Linked DNA regions of Kluyveromyces lactis. The protein of the gene in region 1 binds, or shares a complex with, the protein of each later gene. Links are inferred from orthologs where the notes say so. Each region holds a gene or a part of one and is shown in the gene's direction. Other genes may lie near its edges.

What was found. The genes of interacting proteins can lie anywhere in the genome.
Region 2: MRX14 (region 1) and MRPL22 share a complex: the UniProt entries of both Saccharomyces cerevisiae proteins name them as parts of the mitochondrial large ribosomal subunit. The link is inferred for Kluyveromyces lactis from reciprocal best matches to the Saccharomyces cerevisiae genes MRX14 and MRPL22.
Region 3: MRX14 (region 1) and MHR1 share a complex: the UniProt entries of both Saccharomyces cerevisiae proteins name them as parts of the mitochondrial large ribosomal subunit. The link is inferred for Kluyveromyces lactis from reciprocal best matches to the Saccharomyces cerevisiae genes MRX14 and MHR1.

The regions. Positions count from the first base shown.
Region 1 is NC_006042.1:1,780,379-1,785,850, forward strand, and holds MRX14 (mitochondrial 54S ribosomal protein bL34m), read left to right. Parts: upstream 1-2,445; coding exon 2,446-2,796; downstream 2,797-5,472. Other genes in the region: PDS1 (securin), read right to left, coding at 1-506; GEP5 (Gep5p), read left to right, coding at 1,116-2,033; MRPL1 (mitochondrial 54S ribosomal protein uL1m), read right to left, coding at 3,119-3,919; TMA64 (Tma64p), read right to left, coding at 4,286-5,472. UniProt on the Saccharomyces cerevisiae protein: Component of the mitochondrial ribosome (mitoribosome), a dedicated translation machinery responsible for the synthesis of mitochondrial genome-encoded proteins, including at least some of the essential transmembrane subunits of the mitochondrial respiratory chain.
Region 2 is NC_006040.1:700,428-706,706, forward strand, and holds MRPL22 (mitochondrial 54S ribosomal protein uL22m), read left to right. Parts: upstream 1-3,027; coding exon 3,028-3,927; downstream 3,928-6,279. Other genes in the region: NOP13 (Nop13p), read left to right, coding at 1-900; TDA7 (Tda7p), read left to right, coding at 1,460-2,626; SHR3 (Shr3p), read right to left, coding at 4,170-4,778; RPS3 (40S ribosomal protein uS3), read right to left, coding at 5,198-5,911. UniProt on the Saccharomyces cerevisiae protein: Component of the mitochondrial ribosome (mitoribosome), a dedicated translation machinery responsible for the synthesis of mitochondrial genome-encoded proteins, including at least some of the essential transmembrane subunits of the mitochondrial respiratory chain.
Region 3 is NC_006039.1:891,584-897,456, reverse strand, and holds MHR1 (mitochondrial 54S ribosomal protein mL67), read left to right. Parts: upstream 1-2,861; coding exon 2,862-3,521; downstream 3,522-5,873. Other genes in the region: HDA2 (Hda2p), read right to left, coding at 1-101; GTPase-activating protein NEL1, read right to left, coding at 447-2,435; SUR2 (sphingosine hydroxylase), read left to right, coding at 4,398-5,417. UniProt on the Saccharomyces cerevisiae protein: Component of the mitochondrial ribosome (mitoribosome), a dedicated translation machinery responsible for the synthesis of mitochondrial genome-encoded proteins, including at least some of the essential transmembrane subunits of the mitochondrial respiratory chain.

The DNA.
Region 1 (5,472 bases):
TACGGTAGTTCTTTTTGTCTCTTGGGTGCATACTCAATGTTTAGTTCATCTTCTTTCTCTCTGATAAGGGCTTTTAATCCGTTGCCAAACCCAAGGTTTAACGATTTTCCGCTGGGAAATATGGGTAAATCATCCTCCTCATCCTCCTCATCTTCGTCGTCATTCTTTTCATTTAGCTCTGTATCTTTCAGCACCAATGACTTCGTTCGTGGCATAAAAGTGTTCATCCCCAGGACACTTCCGTATTTCTTCAGTTTATTTTCAGGCATATTCTTCATAAAGCTACTGGCGGGCCTTTTTAAAGGGTGATCACTCTTTCCCAACGCAGCATTATTCTTCACACTTAGTATAGATTGCGTCCTGTTATTATCTTTGCTAGCTAGTGGGCGTCTGTTGCCCCGTACTAATGAGTCCGTCCGCTTCATCTGGTTTAGAGGGGTCCTCAGACCCAAATCATTGTCAGGATCTTGGACGGATATGATATTCTCCTTCCCTTCGTTCGGCATAGCTATTTGAATCTGTATATAGCCAATATCTCTTCTAGTCTGACTTCACGCTAGCTTAACAGACAAAATTGGAATATCTTACCGTTGATTGCTCGGCTTTGAACGACCTTGAGCTCTTACTGTTTGTAAATTTTGAGACAGTTTTTGTTATGTTTGTATATTTGTGTTGTTGTTTTTGATCGAATTTGGTGAATCAAACTGAGTATATGTGGTGTATGGATGTTACGGTGATACTGGATACATCTTCATTGCTTAGTACTCATGAAAATACTCCAAAAGAATCCGGAATGTCGCGATGCTTTGAGACTATGCCCACGTCAACAAGGAGCAGTAGCAGTGCCTACTACAAAATGTGAGTTTGTGTCGCTGTTCTTCCTGGTTTCGTTTCGTGTCTGGCTTTCCAAATTGCAATATGGAATAGTAAGTAGGTACGAAAATTTTCTAGCCTAGAGCACACACATGACGATCTTCATACAGAGAACAGGCTCGGAAGAGGTTCTGTATTAATCTAAAGACGAAGGTTATTACTGTTTAAAATAGGTCATAATCGAATGGACATACTGTGAAGTATTGTGCGTATTTTTTTGACAACAGTTTTGGAGGTTGACGATGAAGGCTAGTCTTCTGAGAACTTCGAAATTATACAAGGGTCTTCATTCAATAACTAAAGACGCCATTTCGAAGGTGGACACTTTCCCCAAGAATAAGCAACATGAAACGCTACATCGGTTAAACTCTTTCAATGAGAATCCAACACGCAAGACCTTGGAGAAATTAGTCTATTCTGTTCATTTCCATTTGTTGAACGATCCTCCTAAACACGTAGACATATTGAGACAATACCCTAATGAGTTGGCAAAATTTTGGCCCTATGAAATGCAGCACTCGATTTTAGAAATGGATGACCCAAATCTAACATCTCAAACGATTTTATGGTCTCGTAACAATAAGGATGCTTTGGATTTCTTGAGCTTCAATCGTCATAAGTGGCTGCGGCCGAAAAACTGGCAGACTCCGAATGAGGAACTTATAAAAGATATCACAGGAATTGACGGTCTTCAATCAACTCAAATTACAGAAGTATTAAGACTCCCTGCAGAAAAGATAAAGGAGACACTACGGCAAATTTTCGAGCATTACTATTTCTTGAAGACAAATCCGAAACTATGCGCTACAAAAAAACTCCAGGCACCAATCGTTGAGATCGGAATGAAACCTGATGGTTTCGATATAGCCGACATCAGGATCGATAACTTGTTTAAGAAAAAGGTCAAGCTAATTAGTGACCTGCTCTACTCGCAAAATCCGGTGCTGACTTCAGATGCAGAGTCTATATTAACGTCAATAGTTAACGACCCAGATCTCAATAGGCGAACGAAAAGATTGTATAAAAATGTTGCCAGCAGATCTTACCTTTTCAAAGATGGGAAGTTCGAAATAAGTGAACTTGCTAGAGGCGGATTTGTCCTGTCGAAGGAAAATTTGAGCGAGAACTTAGCTGCTGCCCTTGAGGAAGAACATAATTGACTTATGAACACACATCACGTGATATATAATTTACCTACAGCTACCATTTTAGCTCAATGTAAATAGAAAACACTTTAATAATAATGTTAGCCAGGAAATGAAACCGCCAATACACTTATTGTAACAGACTAGTCTAAGACCGATTTGAAGTTTCAGCGGTTTGCTAGAAGCCAAGTTTGTTCGCTTCCACAGATGCTTTCACTATTTCCAACATCCATCGATATTTTCATACATTTACATTAGTCTCGAGAAAGAAAAAATTTGAATTCAAAGAAATCAAACGAAGAGAAACCAGGACATATTTCTTGAAGACGAAGTCTCCTAAAAGTAGTCGCCCGAACTACTCATTAGTTATCGATAAGGATTTAATTCGAAGTGAAGAACAATTAAAATAAAATCTCATCCAGTCGTTATGAGTTTTATAACAAGAAATCTTCTTCAGTGGACCTCAAAACGTACATTAACCAGTTTCTCTAGTTTCTCACCTTTAAGAACACTAGACTCACGTCTTCATAGACCTTTGGCGCAAGTCAATCCAATGGAAATCACTTTACAATCTCAAACACAAGCAAATGGCTCATCAATATTTGGTATGTTGTTCGATTTGACTCAGAGAAGATGGAAAAGTAGAGGTAACACTTTCCAACCGAGTACTTTAAAGAGAAAGAGAAGAGTGGGGTTCCTAGCAAGGGCAAGATCTAGAAGTGGACAACAGATACTTAAAAGAAGAAAGAATAAAGGCAGATGGTATTTGACTTATTAGTTCTGTTCAACTTTCCAATCAAACCAGGAACGTTATGGAAGCGCCTGATTATAAAGAATGGCTGAATCTCCTGTATATATATCCACATCGTCATTATGTATTTTAAGAAAACGGAACAGTTTTGATTTTAGCTTTGCCATCAGAAAGCTGGCATGACATTAAGATGATTCTATCGGATAGGTTTATAGTTATCAATTGCAGAAGGAATCTTTTTTCTATTAACGATTTCTATGTACATGGGCATTATTTCTGAAGTAAGTTTCATTCTATCTTGACAAGGACAACAATTCCAGTTATTGTTCATAAAAATTGGGTTGCTTTATTAAGCAAAGTCAATCACAATACCAGGACCGTGTGTACTTGTCAGCGTAGTTTGGGACAATATGCTTGGTTTTTTCGTTTGTTGATTGGTGATAGATTGTTTGAAAGCCTTCTGTGTTGCCAACAAGTTCTCTAGAACTTCCTTGTCAGTGAAATGGGTCTTGGCAACACCTAAACTAATACTGTTACCACGTTGTCTGAATGGAACAGAGCTCATACTATCTTTAATCAATGGCTCAAGATCTTCGGCGACGGTTCCCTTCTTGGCAGTTGGCAGTAAACCACGAGGACCCAAAATTCTACCAACTTGAGAAGCAAGTTGTGGAACAATATCTGGAGTTGCAAAAGCCTTGTCAAAGTCGATACTGACTTCACCAGCCTTGATTTGACTTACTAAATCTGAACCGCCGACTAAATGAACACTGTATTTATCTTTCATCAAAGCCGCTTGTGCCTCGTCATTAGTGAAGACAGCAACTTTCACATCTTTAAGAGGTTTGCCGAAGGAAACATTACCTGTAAGAGGGGGGACACCTCTTTCTGCTACCACCAATGTAGTTAACGTGATGGTTTGTTGGCTTGCTGGTTGCCCGACTTCGATTGCACGTAAGTATCTTAGTGCTCTAGAAACTGGCATATACAGTGGATGGTCACTGGCCGGAGTTTTTGCTTGCAATCTTCTTTGAACCATTTTTCTTAGCTCCCTCTTTCTAAGTTGCTCTTTAGTCAACTTAGTACCCGTTTCTTCCGCTAGACGGAAGGACGTTATCTGGAACTGCCTGGTGAATATTCTTGGAAACATCTTGCCGACCCTATTAGCCTCTAAGTAGCGAAATTGGAAAAAATCTCAGGTTATTCAGAGACACAAGTCTTTGAAGTTTTTACGTGAAATAGTTGAAAATTGATTGTATCCTCTCCAAAGGGTAATATAACGTCAACTCGTTGTTCTCATCGTTCTTGTTAACGCTTCCAAGATTTTAATCCAACTAATCATTATACTAAAGCTGAAAAAATTTTGATACATCGACAAATCCGGGTAATATGTAATTGGTATACTGTTTATGTAGGTGAATAAGACGAGGAAGAAGATGAGTTATCTATGATATACAAGGCCCTGGAAAGACCACAAAGAGCAGTTTCACATAATGCCTATCTGCATAAGTGTACCTTACAGCTTCTTCTTTTGTTTTGGTTTGACTTTATTTTCAAACGAAATCCATTTAGTAGGAATACCGTAGTCATTCAAAATAGAGATTACGATTGAACCGTGTGGACCCTGAACCTGGACTTCAGCAGTTTTCGTCGATTTAGACTCACCAATGGTGGTGGATCCGCTGCACTTCTTTCTTAATGCAGCAGCTAATTCTTCAGAGTCAATTTTAAACTTTTCAAAATTAGTGACTCTTGTGATGACCTTCCTACCAATTTTCTTCTCCGTGACAATTTCAAGAGTTGGGATGGGTCCCTTCTCTGGTACTTTGAGAAGCGGTTCACCATTAGGCTTGTAGATTTGGTGGTAGGTGTTGAAGTTTTTTGAGAGGAAAGTGGGCGAAACTATTAGCCCTCTTGCAATTTTCTGTATTCCACCATTTTGGGGAGCTCTGTTAGACATTTGATAAAGCGTATCATCATATTTGACAAGAGATTTGTTCTCCGGATCTATTAGATTGTTATTGGCGACATACAAATCTAGAAGCTTTTTTAACTCTTGTTGAGTGTAGTAACTCTGTGGGACATCGGCGGTTATTCCGGTAATGAATCTTTGGCATGCGCTCATTGGTTTATAAAGATTTTCACCAGAATATGCTGTTATCTTGTTTTTATTTGATTGGTTTGTAGTATCACCTGAGGATTTCTTAGCAATAGTTGCCAAGGTCTTGTAGGCTTCCATGTTTGTTAAATCCTTATGATTCTTGTTTAGCGAGATAACGGTGCAACTGTCATTCTTGCCCTTTAGCTTCAAGAATCCTTCGTCTTCCAAATATTTAAGGAGTTTAGTTGCCTTCTTCCAGGAAGACTTCTTGATATTCACCATATTGGTATCAACATCGGGCAAGTTCTTCATTACATGGTTAGAAATGAAGGTAGACGCGACAATAGGCAATGTGATCTTGTCGTCAAATTTAATAGAATACTTAACTGCGCGCATCAACATGTGATCGACGTCTTCAATGCTCATTTCTTCTAGCTCATCTGCAATTTCATTCACAGGTGACTGACTGCTGCTTCTTTCTAAGTGATTGCTCTCCTCATCAAGCTGTTCACCATATTTGCTAGTCTGTGTTTCTATTGCTGTTGTTTCAATGGGTTCGCTGTTATACACGACAGCTGGTGGTTCCAATTCCAACTTGAAAG
Region 2 (6,279 bases), on another chromosome or scaffold:
GGTTCATCAGAGGAGACCAACGTCGAGGAGGAAAAAATAACTTCCAAACCTAATAAGGAGAAGAAGTTCGGTGTTTGGGTTGGAAATATGGCTTTTGATACCGTGAAAGAAGATATAATTAGGTTTATAGTTGCAAAGACAAAGGAGAATGACGAAGGAGGTGCTATTACCGAGAAAGATATTGTTAGAATAAACATGCCATTGACCAAGAATGACAACAAGAAACTCAGAAATAAAGGTTTTGCTTACATTGATTTTAAAACTGAGAAGCAAATGGAAGCTGTAGTTGGTTTGAGTGAAAGTGCACTAAACGGAAGAAACTTGCTCATCAAGAACGCTGGCAGTTATGAAGGAAGACCAGATAAGAATGATCTAGTAGCTGCATCAAAGAACCCACCATCCAGAATTCTATTTGTTGGTAATTTGTCGTTTGATACTACCGAAGACCTACTGAGGAAGCACTTCCAACACTGTGGTGAAATTATGAGGATAAGAATGGCTACTTTCGAAGACACTGGTAAGTGTAAAGGGTTTGCATTTATCGATTTTAAGGACGAAACAGGTGCTACCAATGCGCTTAAAGATAAAAGTTGTAGAAAGATTGCAAGCAGACCTATTAGAATGGAATACGGTGAAGATAGATCAAAGAGACAAGTGAGAAGGAGACCTGAGTTAGATGCCAGGGAACCAAGGAAGCCATCATTTGACATAAAGACGACTCAACCGTCATCATCAGCAGCACCACCACCAATTAGGGAAAGACGTGCACCATCCTATTCCAATAGACAACCATCTCACAAGGATTCTAACAATCGTTTGAAAAGTAGTGTTGCATTGGCTTCTGCTCAAAGAGGATCTGCAGCCATTGTGCCATCGCAAGGTAAGAAGACAACTTTTTAATGTGCGTCAAGAAAACATGAAATATATCAAAATCTTGTATATTAGTTCGAAATAGATCATATACCCATATTTATATTCTCTCATAGGAATATATACTTATCAAAAATAAAGTATAGAAGGACGTATGGGACTGAGGTTCTCTGTTATCATCCTTCTGCTGCAAGTCGAAGGCTGCATCTTGTTTTTCTTCACCGCTCAGTCTCGAGAATCCTTCTCCACGACCGGCGAGCACGACTTTTTTTTTTTTCTTTTACGCATTCGAGAGCAGCAAACAAATATAGAACTTGAAGCAGGTCTACTAATAGAAGCCTTGCATAAGGAGAAATAGGCGAGGGTAACGTCGTCAACTTCTCTATACATCCATCAAGGGACGCTAAGGCAGGACTTATAAGGTAGTGGGTGACGATACATAAGTTGCTAGTTGCTTGAGAAAGGGTGAAGTCGATTGCTACATCATTTTTTTTACCGAAAAACCGTTACAAGCGTAAAGCAGTTGTACCAAGGAAACTATTAAATTTCAAGATCTATAACAGGATCTCACTGGCCAGTTCACCTAAAGATGTTGTTCAACACTACCACTGACGGTACTGATTATTCATCTGTTGTTTCTTCGTCAGATACACTGACAGAAAGTTCGGAGTCGTTCTCACAAAGCGTTGCTAGTTTACGAACGGATTACATCAACCCTGACTCAGGAAATTCTACGCAGCAGCCACATGGTATGAAGACCAGGACGGTTCTGGTATATCCAAACAGATCACATTCGGATTCGGATTCACCTGGCATAGTATCGCCATCTACAGTTTGGGTACCGCCGTCAACAGATGATTCAACGTCGCATACAGATGTAGACACGGCAATGGTGACGGTACTTGAGATGAGCTCAGGACCGAGCAACATAGTAATGCAAACAATTTATCCCGAGAACACCGCGACCCAAGAATACACATCTGTTGAGGGTACAGAAGCTACTGCCACTGTGCCTACACCGACTTGGTTAACGTTGACCACTGAAGTACCGTCTTCTGAAACTGTGGTTTATTACACACGAGATTTCATCTTTACTGACACTTCAACCACCTTTACTAAAGGACTACCGACACTTACAGTGATACCCACAGAGGCTACTTTCACTACACCTACAGGTCCAGTTGTGACTGACACATCTTTTTACGAAAGATGGCTATCTGGCGCATTGGATTCCAACTCAACATCGTCTGGATCAAATAAAGATACAATAATCGGTGGTGTAATAGGAAGCGTGGGAGGTCTGGCGCTAATGATACTGGTGATCTATTTATTATTTAGGAAGAGACGAAGGAGAAATCTTATCGAACACGAAAAGAGCTTCTCCCACGACATTGGGAGAAAAATGGGATACGACGATATCGGAACGTTTATTGCACAGTCTCAGCAAACCACCAAGACTACAACCAGAGTATCGACGACTGCTCATAATAATAACAAAGTTTCAAAAAGTTTGCCCTCAGTGCCTCCATATGTTGCAGATTCTGTCAGGAGGCCACAGACGACAAATCCATTCGACGACGAATATGTTGTATCGATTGCAGATCCAGAGTCTCAGACGCCTTCCACAACATCACTACATTCATCCTTTGTGTCATCTTCCACCGATGAGGGTACACATGACACTGAAATGTCAGTTACTTACGATGAAAACCCACAGAACGCTCACGGATATTTAACGGAACTAATCGAACACTGATCTTACCAAACTCTAATTACAAAGTTTTCAAATTTGTACTTAAATTTTCCCTTCTATTCAATATACTTCTTTGTGCATCTTCAGTTATATAGTTCATATTTAAGGTTTAATTCCTAGCAATTCCACACTAACGCTTTTCTAATTTGTGATCTTACAACCCGTCAAGATAGTCGGACTTCAATATCTTCCTCCACACAGTAGAACCATTCCTTATATCTTCATGCCCGTTCACGATGATTTATATTTCCTAACCATCGAACAAAAAAATTTTGATAATCAAACATTGTACAGAAGAAGGATTGATCAAAGTAATAAAATGCCTACAGTATAATACTAGAGGCACGTGTAAATTACATGGTTAGTTGCAGGCTCTGTCATCAGTTCAACCTATATAAAATTTAATGCTATCGAGGACAGTAACTAGCCTGTTCGGCTTGGGAAAGGCTTCCGGTGTAAGAAGTTTTCAAGCTTCAGCATTGCAGCTACAAAAATCTGCACAAGGTTCGCTATTCGGTGAAGTCACCGATGGAGTGAATCCGTTGAAGGATGACGATCCAAATAAACTATCTAATAAGTTGACTACTGCTACCGAACTGTCAGATGATTTGGATGCTGCTACCCAGCTGGCAGAGGCTAAAAAGAAAGTTACAGCAGCCAATGATACACAATTACAGAAATATATCGAAGAACAAGACCCCATGATCAAAAGTTTACCAGAATTTTTGTTACCAAGAGTTAAGAAGGAATTCTATGAACAACAGGTTAGGTTGAACGGTGGGTTTTACGACAAAAGCGTGCGCCCTAAAGATCGTTCTTTGAGATTAACGAATGAAGAATTAGAAGTGCTTGAACCTAGTGTCTATGTTAAATCTTACAGAGTAAAATCATCTATGAAGAAGGCCACACAGCTGCTTAGACTTTTGAACGGATTGGACGCTAAGAAAGCTTTGACTCAATGTCATTTCTCCGATAAAAAGGTTGCCCGTGATGTTGCCGAATTATTGGAGCGCGGTATTAATGATGGTGTGAAGCTTGGCTTGGATGCCAATGACCTATACATCTCCCAGATATGGACCGGCAGTGATGGATTTTGGCAAAAACGTGTCGAATGGAAGGGTAGAGGTAGACGTGGTCTCATTGAACACCCATATGTGCATATCAAATGCATATTGAAGACCAAGAGTGTAACGAAGAGAAGACTAGAGCACGAAGCCAAACTAAAAGAACAAAGGAAGAAACCGTGGGTTCAATTAGCAGATAAACCCATCAGAGGTTCTATGGGTGGTGTTTACAAATGGTAATGAGATATTAAACATTATCATATTACGTTTATTTCCAATGATAATGGGTGAAGATAATATACAGCAATTAAATCATCAATAATAAGGTCCTTAGATTGTCTTTGGGTTTCATCTCAAGTTATCCATGTCGGAATAGCCAAGTATTTCATATCATTTATATAATATATAGAACAAGAGCTTGTAAATAGTGAAAGCAACGCGAAATACTTCACCGCATCAAACTGTAAGGAAACAAATTTCGTCTATTTCTTCTTCTTAGATTCCGTTTTAGCTGGTTCAGTAGTTTTCTCCGCCTTCTGTTGGTTAGCGGCAGATTCCTTCAATTGGTCTTTCCTCCATTGATCTAATCTTTGTTCATATTCCCAGGTACTGTACCACAAACCTCCTTGCAACACTAAGACACCAGCAAAGACAATTAAAATAATGATATTGGAAGAGGCAACAACAGCAATACCTTGCGCCTCAGAGACTTCACCCCAGTTATGGTAAACCGCAGATTCAACACCGGTCTTGATATTTGTTAAGAAAACACAGATACCCAAAACGTACAAAGCCAATGAACCGTATTCAAATAATTGCAAATCTGGATTTGGCTTGTATACCCTAATCAAGGAACCAATGACTCCCACAATGGCCACCGCACCAAGCATATAAAGGGTTGGCTTGGCCGTGTAGAATAGAGTCTGGTAGTGTTTCAAAGCGTTCTCAAAATGCTCCGGCGTGGCAGCAGGATTGAATAGGATATTATAGTCATATGGTTGATTAGAAAAGAAGATCCCCATCAAAAAAGTAGTTGATCCAATGATCAATGCTGTACCTACAGCACAAAAATCCTTATAAGTTAGGCCCATATTTACTTTCAGTCAATGTGTTTAGTGAGCGATACCTACGTTCTCTTAAAAATGGAACGTATAGACCCTACGTGTGGTATTAAATGGTTAACAATTCATCTATAATTGAGCCATTGGTTTTTTCAGTACGCACTATATATTCTCTTTTTTTTTAATAATTTACATGATTTTTGCCCACCGAATTTTTTTGATTAGTATGAAAGATAAAGGAACTGAAAGGCGGAAAGGCATTATCGGAAGGCGCTATCGATAAATCATTTTAAAAATCCATTGATAAAAGCAGGACGTTTTAATCGATGTCATCTGGGCATAGATTACTTATTTTTAAAAGAATTGATGAGTTTCTTAATATTTATACATATAAGAACGGTATTTAATAGACTAATTAATAATATAGAATCAAACAGATATCAATTGATTTAAGCAGATTCAGCAGCTTCAACTGGTTCAGTTGGTCTGTAATCCTTGACAGAAGGTTCCAAAACTGGTTCTTCTTCCTTTGGTTCGATGATGGTAACAGCATCTGGCAAAGCCTTTGGACCAGAGGTGTTTCTAGATGGGTCCTTCATGATCTTAACCTTAATACCCAAAACACCTTGTCTCAACAAAACGTGTCTGGTAGCGGTTTCAATGAAGTCGTTGACTGGTTGACCGGAGTGGATCAAGAAACCGTCAGCGAACTTCATGGACTTGGCTCTAGCAGCTCTCAACTTACCGGAGATGACAACTTCACAACCCTTGGCACCAGATTCCATAACGTATCTGACAACACCGTAAGCAGCTCTTCTGATGGCCAAACCGTTCAACAATTTGAACTTCATGGATTCAGCTTGAGCAACAGCGGACAAACCACGGTCATGGACTCTTTCAGCGTATAAAGCAATGGTACCACGCTTGTACTTGAATCTCTTTTCAATCAACAAGGTCAATTCGTTGATTCTTCTACCATTTTCACCAACAACATCTTGAACCTTAGTAGCTCTGATGATAATTTCGGTCTTGGTTGGAGTAACTCTGACTTCGACACCAGAGTAACCTTCTTCAGCCAATTCTCTGGTGAAGAATTCGTTCAATTCGGCGTAGAAAACACCGTCAGCGACAAGCTTTCTCTTCTTGGAGATAATGGCAACCATTTTTACTTTATTTGTTCGTCGGGGAGCTCGAAATTATAGGTGATAATAAAACTAACTAAAGTAAGTATCTTGTATGTCCAATGGCACTTATGTTCATAATGAACCAGATTGTAAAGCGATGATGAGAACAATATTCGTCAAACCGTCCGAATCGCTGCGATTGGTATGGTGAAAATGAAAAAATCATCTGAAAGACAGTATTTACTCACCAACACATGTGGTGTATGGGTTAATGCTTCAGATAAATGAACATTTTCAATGAGATAAGTACCCAAAATGGCAATGCAGAAAAAATTGGAAAAAAAACTAAAACAAAAATGTCCGGGTGAGCAGTCCCAGGAACATATATTTTCAAGTCACCTGGTAAG
Region 3 (5,873 bases), on another chromosome or scaffold:
TCTGCATGTATCGAGATTAAAATTTCCAACAAATCTTTCTGAACTTGAGTTAGGCCAACAGGTATATAAAATACCTGAGTCCGGTTGGAAGTGGAGTTCATCTTTCTTTCCCTAATGAAACGACCCAATGGCTCGCGCTTGCAGTTTCTCTTTCTTTTCCTCTGGACTCTGGCTTTTAATGTGCTATTCGGAAAGAATGGTTAGATTTAATTATATAGTATCTTTTAAAAAATGAAATATGTCATTTTTGAAAAGCGACAGATGGAGAAACCAAGGAATACGTACATAGTATCTTTTCCTGCCATACAATTGTTATTCAAAGGGGGAGCGATAGATTCGAAGGTTGCGACAGTAAATGGGGAACTATTCTAACCTTTTGGTTTTGGTTATATATATATAGAGTTCATGATATCTGTTGAGAGGTAAAATGAATGATTACATACTTTTCATGCAGTACTTTTTGATTTAAACAGTGCCATGTATTTATCAAGCGTGAGGTCATCAGAATGCAAAGAATGTTCTGCAGTTAAGCCTAGTCGTGCAATTACAAATCTATCCTGACTAGCACCTGGCTTGGTTTCTCGATACCAAGGCTTTGGAAATCGACTTCCATCGTGGTATATGGTATCAGCAGCTGCCTTCAAACTGTCAACTCTGCTATCTCCTACTGAAGTATCTCGTACCACAAGGACGTTACCACCATCTACCAATAAAGGTTCGGCATAATTAAGGATGTCAGTTGTATTTTGAATAAGCCCTGTGGTCGAATACACTTGGGGTCTAACCATCTTGAATATATGACTTAAAGGGGAATTCAGAATTGTCCAATGGTAGACGATCCACTCGTCAGGCGATGTATTTCTCTTCCTTAAGAGAGTTGATCTTTGCATAAAGTACGTTACTTCTTGTAAGGATTTAATGCCAGGAACATCGATGGCATTCAATGATTTAAGAAGTTTTACTATTTCTAACGTCCACCACCTTAGATCGTAATCATAAAACTTGCCTTGAAACAAGACAGCGAAAGATATTTTTTTCATTATGGATCCAGCCATTATATCCCAGTGGAAATTTTGGGTTAAAAGATGTTCACCTGGTAAGGTTGTACTGGGAATAAATTTCGTTTCTACAGAAACGTATTCTTGATTCAAGTGTTTATAGTAGCATTCCATTTGAAAGGAAAATTTATCTGGCATTTCTTGCAAGGCTTCAGCAGCGCTGCGAGATGTATCAACAGATAAACTTATCAAAATTGATGGTAGATTACTACTTGGCCCTTTGTAACGGAAGGTTCCAGACCCTCCAAAGCCCTTTGGAGTGTCAGATACATGTGTGTCCTTGTCTTTCAAGGATGAGACTGGACCAAAGATCCCATTCAGTAATAGCTTGTTAGAAGTTTTGATAACAATTCTGGTTATTTCATAACATCCTTTCCCTTGAATATACGCCTGCCAATCATATATGAAATTTCTATCATTGAAGGATTCGTATTGAATAAAGTTGTTCAAACAGGATCTCATCTCCCATATTCCGACCTGATCCATGGATGCGACGAATACCGTGCATGGAGCAAACTTTAAGGACTTACTCATTTTATTGTAAAATTCTCTAGAAGGTTTCCAATATTTCACATCCTTGTCTTCCTCTATATTTCTATGCTGCCTGATATGATTTTTTCGGTCCATTGAGATAACCTTACCTGGTGCTACTGTACAGGGTCCGAAAACAAATGCAATGGATTGTGATGGGTTTAGACATTGTGCTAGAAAAATAGCGAGTGCAGTGTTTCTTCTACATCTTTTTTTTGACCTAGTCCGTTGACATAGAAGTTCCGCGAGTTTAGCACCGAAAGATATTTGGTCCGTCCAAATCTTCCTCACTAAAAGCCCATACTTTGCAATGAACCATTCTGTGTCAAGCTTCTTAAGATGGCTGATACAACTACTAGATTCTGCATCTACGGTAATGTGTGACCCGTCAGTATGAATAGTGACAGACCCATCTTCAATCGTGATCAGGGCCAATGACTGGACAGAACCAAATTGTAACATCTTCAACGCGTCTAGATTTTCCTCAAATTCACAATTAAGATCGATGATTATGGCGAACTTGGAATGCGTAGGCACAGCAGCAGTTCCTAAATGTTTTAGGTATGACGATGATAATGGAATATTCCCTAGTTCATTATAAGCATTACAAAAAGAACAAAACCACCCAGCTCGTGAATCTCTTGAACATAAAAAATTCGCAAACCCTCCACAGATTTTACAATTGGTATAATTCTCACTGCTTGCTAGGCTTGAATTCCCGTCAATTGTCAAGTCCGGCTCACAAATGGCACTTATCGATCCACGGTTATCATCTCCACAATCGAGAACTCTAGCTAAGCAATCTGTCCGGGACGTAGGAACGGCTCCATAATTCAATTCAAACATCAAGTTCTAGATGGTGGAATATGCGGACACTTGACGGATGAAGGTGATAACTCTACTGTGCGTGTCTGCTGATAGGAAAACCTTTCTCTGGAGATGAGATCCAAGATAAGATAGAGCAGGTAGCGGAGAATTCAATATCATCACAAGATCCGGGTAATGTATATATTAGGTTCATTCTCTTTAATTTTCAGTGTTTCTACGAAGTTGTTTATGGCATCTGAAAAAGCTGAAAAATTTTGAAAAAGAGAAAGCTGATAGTTAGTTTAGCTTGATTACAGAAGAGATCACCACATTTGTGCACACATTGTATTTAAATAACTCTTCAGAAGTCCATCAATAGCACTGGAGATAGAAGAGAACTCTGAGGATCAAGGCTTTTGTTGTTAACAAATAAGGCTTGAAGACACCATAGGGCACTAGGAAGAGATGAGCAAGCATTTAGCTATTACCAAGTTCCGTCCAGCCAACTGGCTACAGAAAGCAGGGTATGCACCACAAGTCTTTTTATTCAGAAACCTAGAGAGTGGACAAGTGCTGTACTCTCAATTCCCGACTTTTTCTTGGAAGCAAATTGATACCAATTTCCAAAGACCCAACTGGGAGAATAAGAAACCAAGCACCAGACGTGATATTTGGAAATGTATGGCTGTTGTTGATCTACCAGACTACGACAAGAGTGTAAAAGTATACCAGAATTTGTGCAGATTAAGATATCTCCGTGATGTGACATTCAGTAAACAGGCAAAAGACATGAGAAAGAAGAATGAGTCCGGCCACACATGGTACTCATCGCAATACAGACCAACATACTCTCAAGAAGCGGTTGCCGATTTGCGAGAATGTCTCCTAAAGTTGAAAGACGTCCAATCGTCCATTAAGGTCCATTGGGAAGACGAATGGAGAATGGGGGATAAAGAGAAATACTGGAACCCAGTATTGCCAGAGTTGAATCACACAACACTAGAACGTTTGGGGAACGTTTCCAGAGAGGAAAGTGCAATTTTGAAAGAACTAGGCGAAAGAGCCAAAGAAGAGTTCGCAAGAGTGAGACAACAGGAGTCAGCTGCTCAAAACATCTCTCTATGAGTTACAAAAGAAAACAAGCAAATACAAACTATTTCCAGTTGCAAAAGCTGAGCCGAGCTCAGATCTTTCACTGCTTCACTCGTCACGTCTTTAAGAAATCACTACATGTACATATATAACCCGCAGACAATCCGACTCTGTAAATAATATAAACAAACCCTCAGCTCACTACCGGCGTTTAACTGATTTGACAAGGTGATTACTAGCAGTTTTCTCCCTTGTTTCCATCATCACGTAACCTAAATATCAAAGGTTCTGTAATCATCATATTACTTCCTCTACTTTTCTACCGCTTCATACCATATGTGTCTCATGCATGCATTAACGCCTAACGGAAGAAGAAGCAGGAACCCGGACACCAAAGAAAAAGCAAAAAAAATGTCACATGACCAAATTTGAGAAACCTTAACACCGTTTCTCTGGTTTTCTCTGGTGTTTCTTTAACGACAATCCTGTTTTCCCTTAGAGGCTTCGGGTTTTTCTTAGTTTTTCTAGCATAACATGGTGTCGAGAATACAGAATTGCGTTATAAATGTATTGCGTTATAAGATCAGTGGTTGTATTTATACGAAGCGTATAGGCTAATGTTGGCATACCAAGCGAAGAAGGCTGCAATAATATTGAAAGGGTAAGGCTTGAGATTAGGTAAAAAGTTATTCTGGAGTTACTGTTTCTTTTTTTTTGATCATACTGAAGAGAGACAGCAACTATATAAAATACGAAGCAAGATACGAAATCAGATACACAAACTGATATTTGCAGTGTCATACAAAACTTATAAGTCCATTTATACTTGAGAGGAGCTGTTTTCTGTCGGATACAGTTCGAGGATAAGGAGATACAATATTTTGCGTGTGCTGTATCGGTTTTATAACTATGGCAAATATTGTTGAAAGTGCAGTGCAGCACTTGTATTTGCAGGTGAAAGATGCTATGGATGTGTCGTTTATGAATTCTAAAGCTCCACCTGCTTCTGTGATAACGAAGAAACAGGATATTTTGCCTTGGATTTCTGATGGGAAACTTGCCTTAGCACTACCTGTTGTTGCTTATTGGCTTTATTCGATGTTTTTCCATTACATTGATACCAATGAGGTTTTCGAACAGTACAGGATTCATCCAAGCGAGGAAGTACAACAGCGGAATAAGGCCTCAAGATTAGAGGTTTTAAAAGAGGTGATATTACAACATTTCATTCAAACATTTACTGGACTTGGTATGCTCTACTTGGATCCTGTGCCGACTTCAGGGTTTGAGAAGTATGAGATGTGGAAATGGAGGCAATCTTTACCCTTTTTCGTACCATCTGTTTTCATCAAGTTTATGTATTGCTATGGATGGTCTATGATAAGGATATTTATTGGGTTTTGTATCGTAGATTCGTGGCAGTATTGGCTGCATAGGGTGATGCATATGAATAAGACACTTTACAAAAAATTCCACTCACGTCATCATAGGTTATATGTTCCTTATGCGTACGGTGCATTGTACAATTCCCCAGTGGAAGGTTTCCTCCTTGACACTTTGGGTACAGGCATTGCTGCAATCGTGACACAATTAAATCATACAGAACAAGTTGTTCTATACACTTTTGCTACTTTGAAAACAGTGGACGATCATTGCGGATATGCTTTGCCCCTGGACCCATTCCAGTGGTTGTTTTCAAATAATGCAGTGTATCACGACATTCACCATCAGTCTTTTGGTATCAAGTCCAATTTTTCTCAACCATTCTTTACCATATGGGATAAGTTTTGTGACACCAAGTATCATGGATTTGAAGAGTATGAGAAAAAACAAAGACGTGTCACCATTGACAAGTACAAGGAGTTTTTGAACAAAAGAAAACTCGAACACCAGGCCAAGTTAAAAGCTATGAAAGAGAAGATGTCATAGTTTTCTTATCTTCTGCATATATCCTACATCAATGTTTCACTTCCAATTGTTTTTTTTTAACGTTTCATTGTTATCTCTTTTCTCCTAGAAAAAGGATCAATCACCGTCATTTTCTTGTGATCACATATGCTTATTAGCATCCTTATAATTGTGATTATCAGTATTACTATTTACTTTACTACTGGCGTTAGAACCCACCCCTTATTCGTTTTACACATTTTCTTTCAGATTTTGTAATGAAGTTAGTTAATTTTTGTAATGAGGTTTAAAGAACTCAATCTTTTTCTGCATCCACTCTATCCTTAATCGATTCATTATACTAAATTGAATAGTGTTCTGAAAGTTATACTTTATTTCAACATCTATTTATGAGTTTGTATTTAAACTGACTCGAAAATGGTTGGTTTAAGTAAACAAAGCAATCCAATGAGACGACTAAGGATTAAAGAATCGACT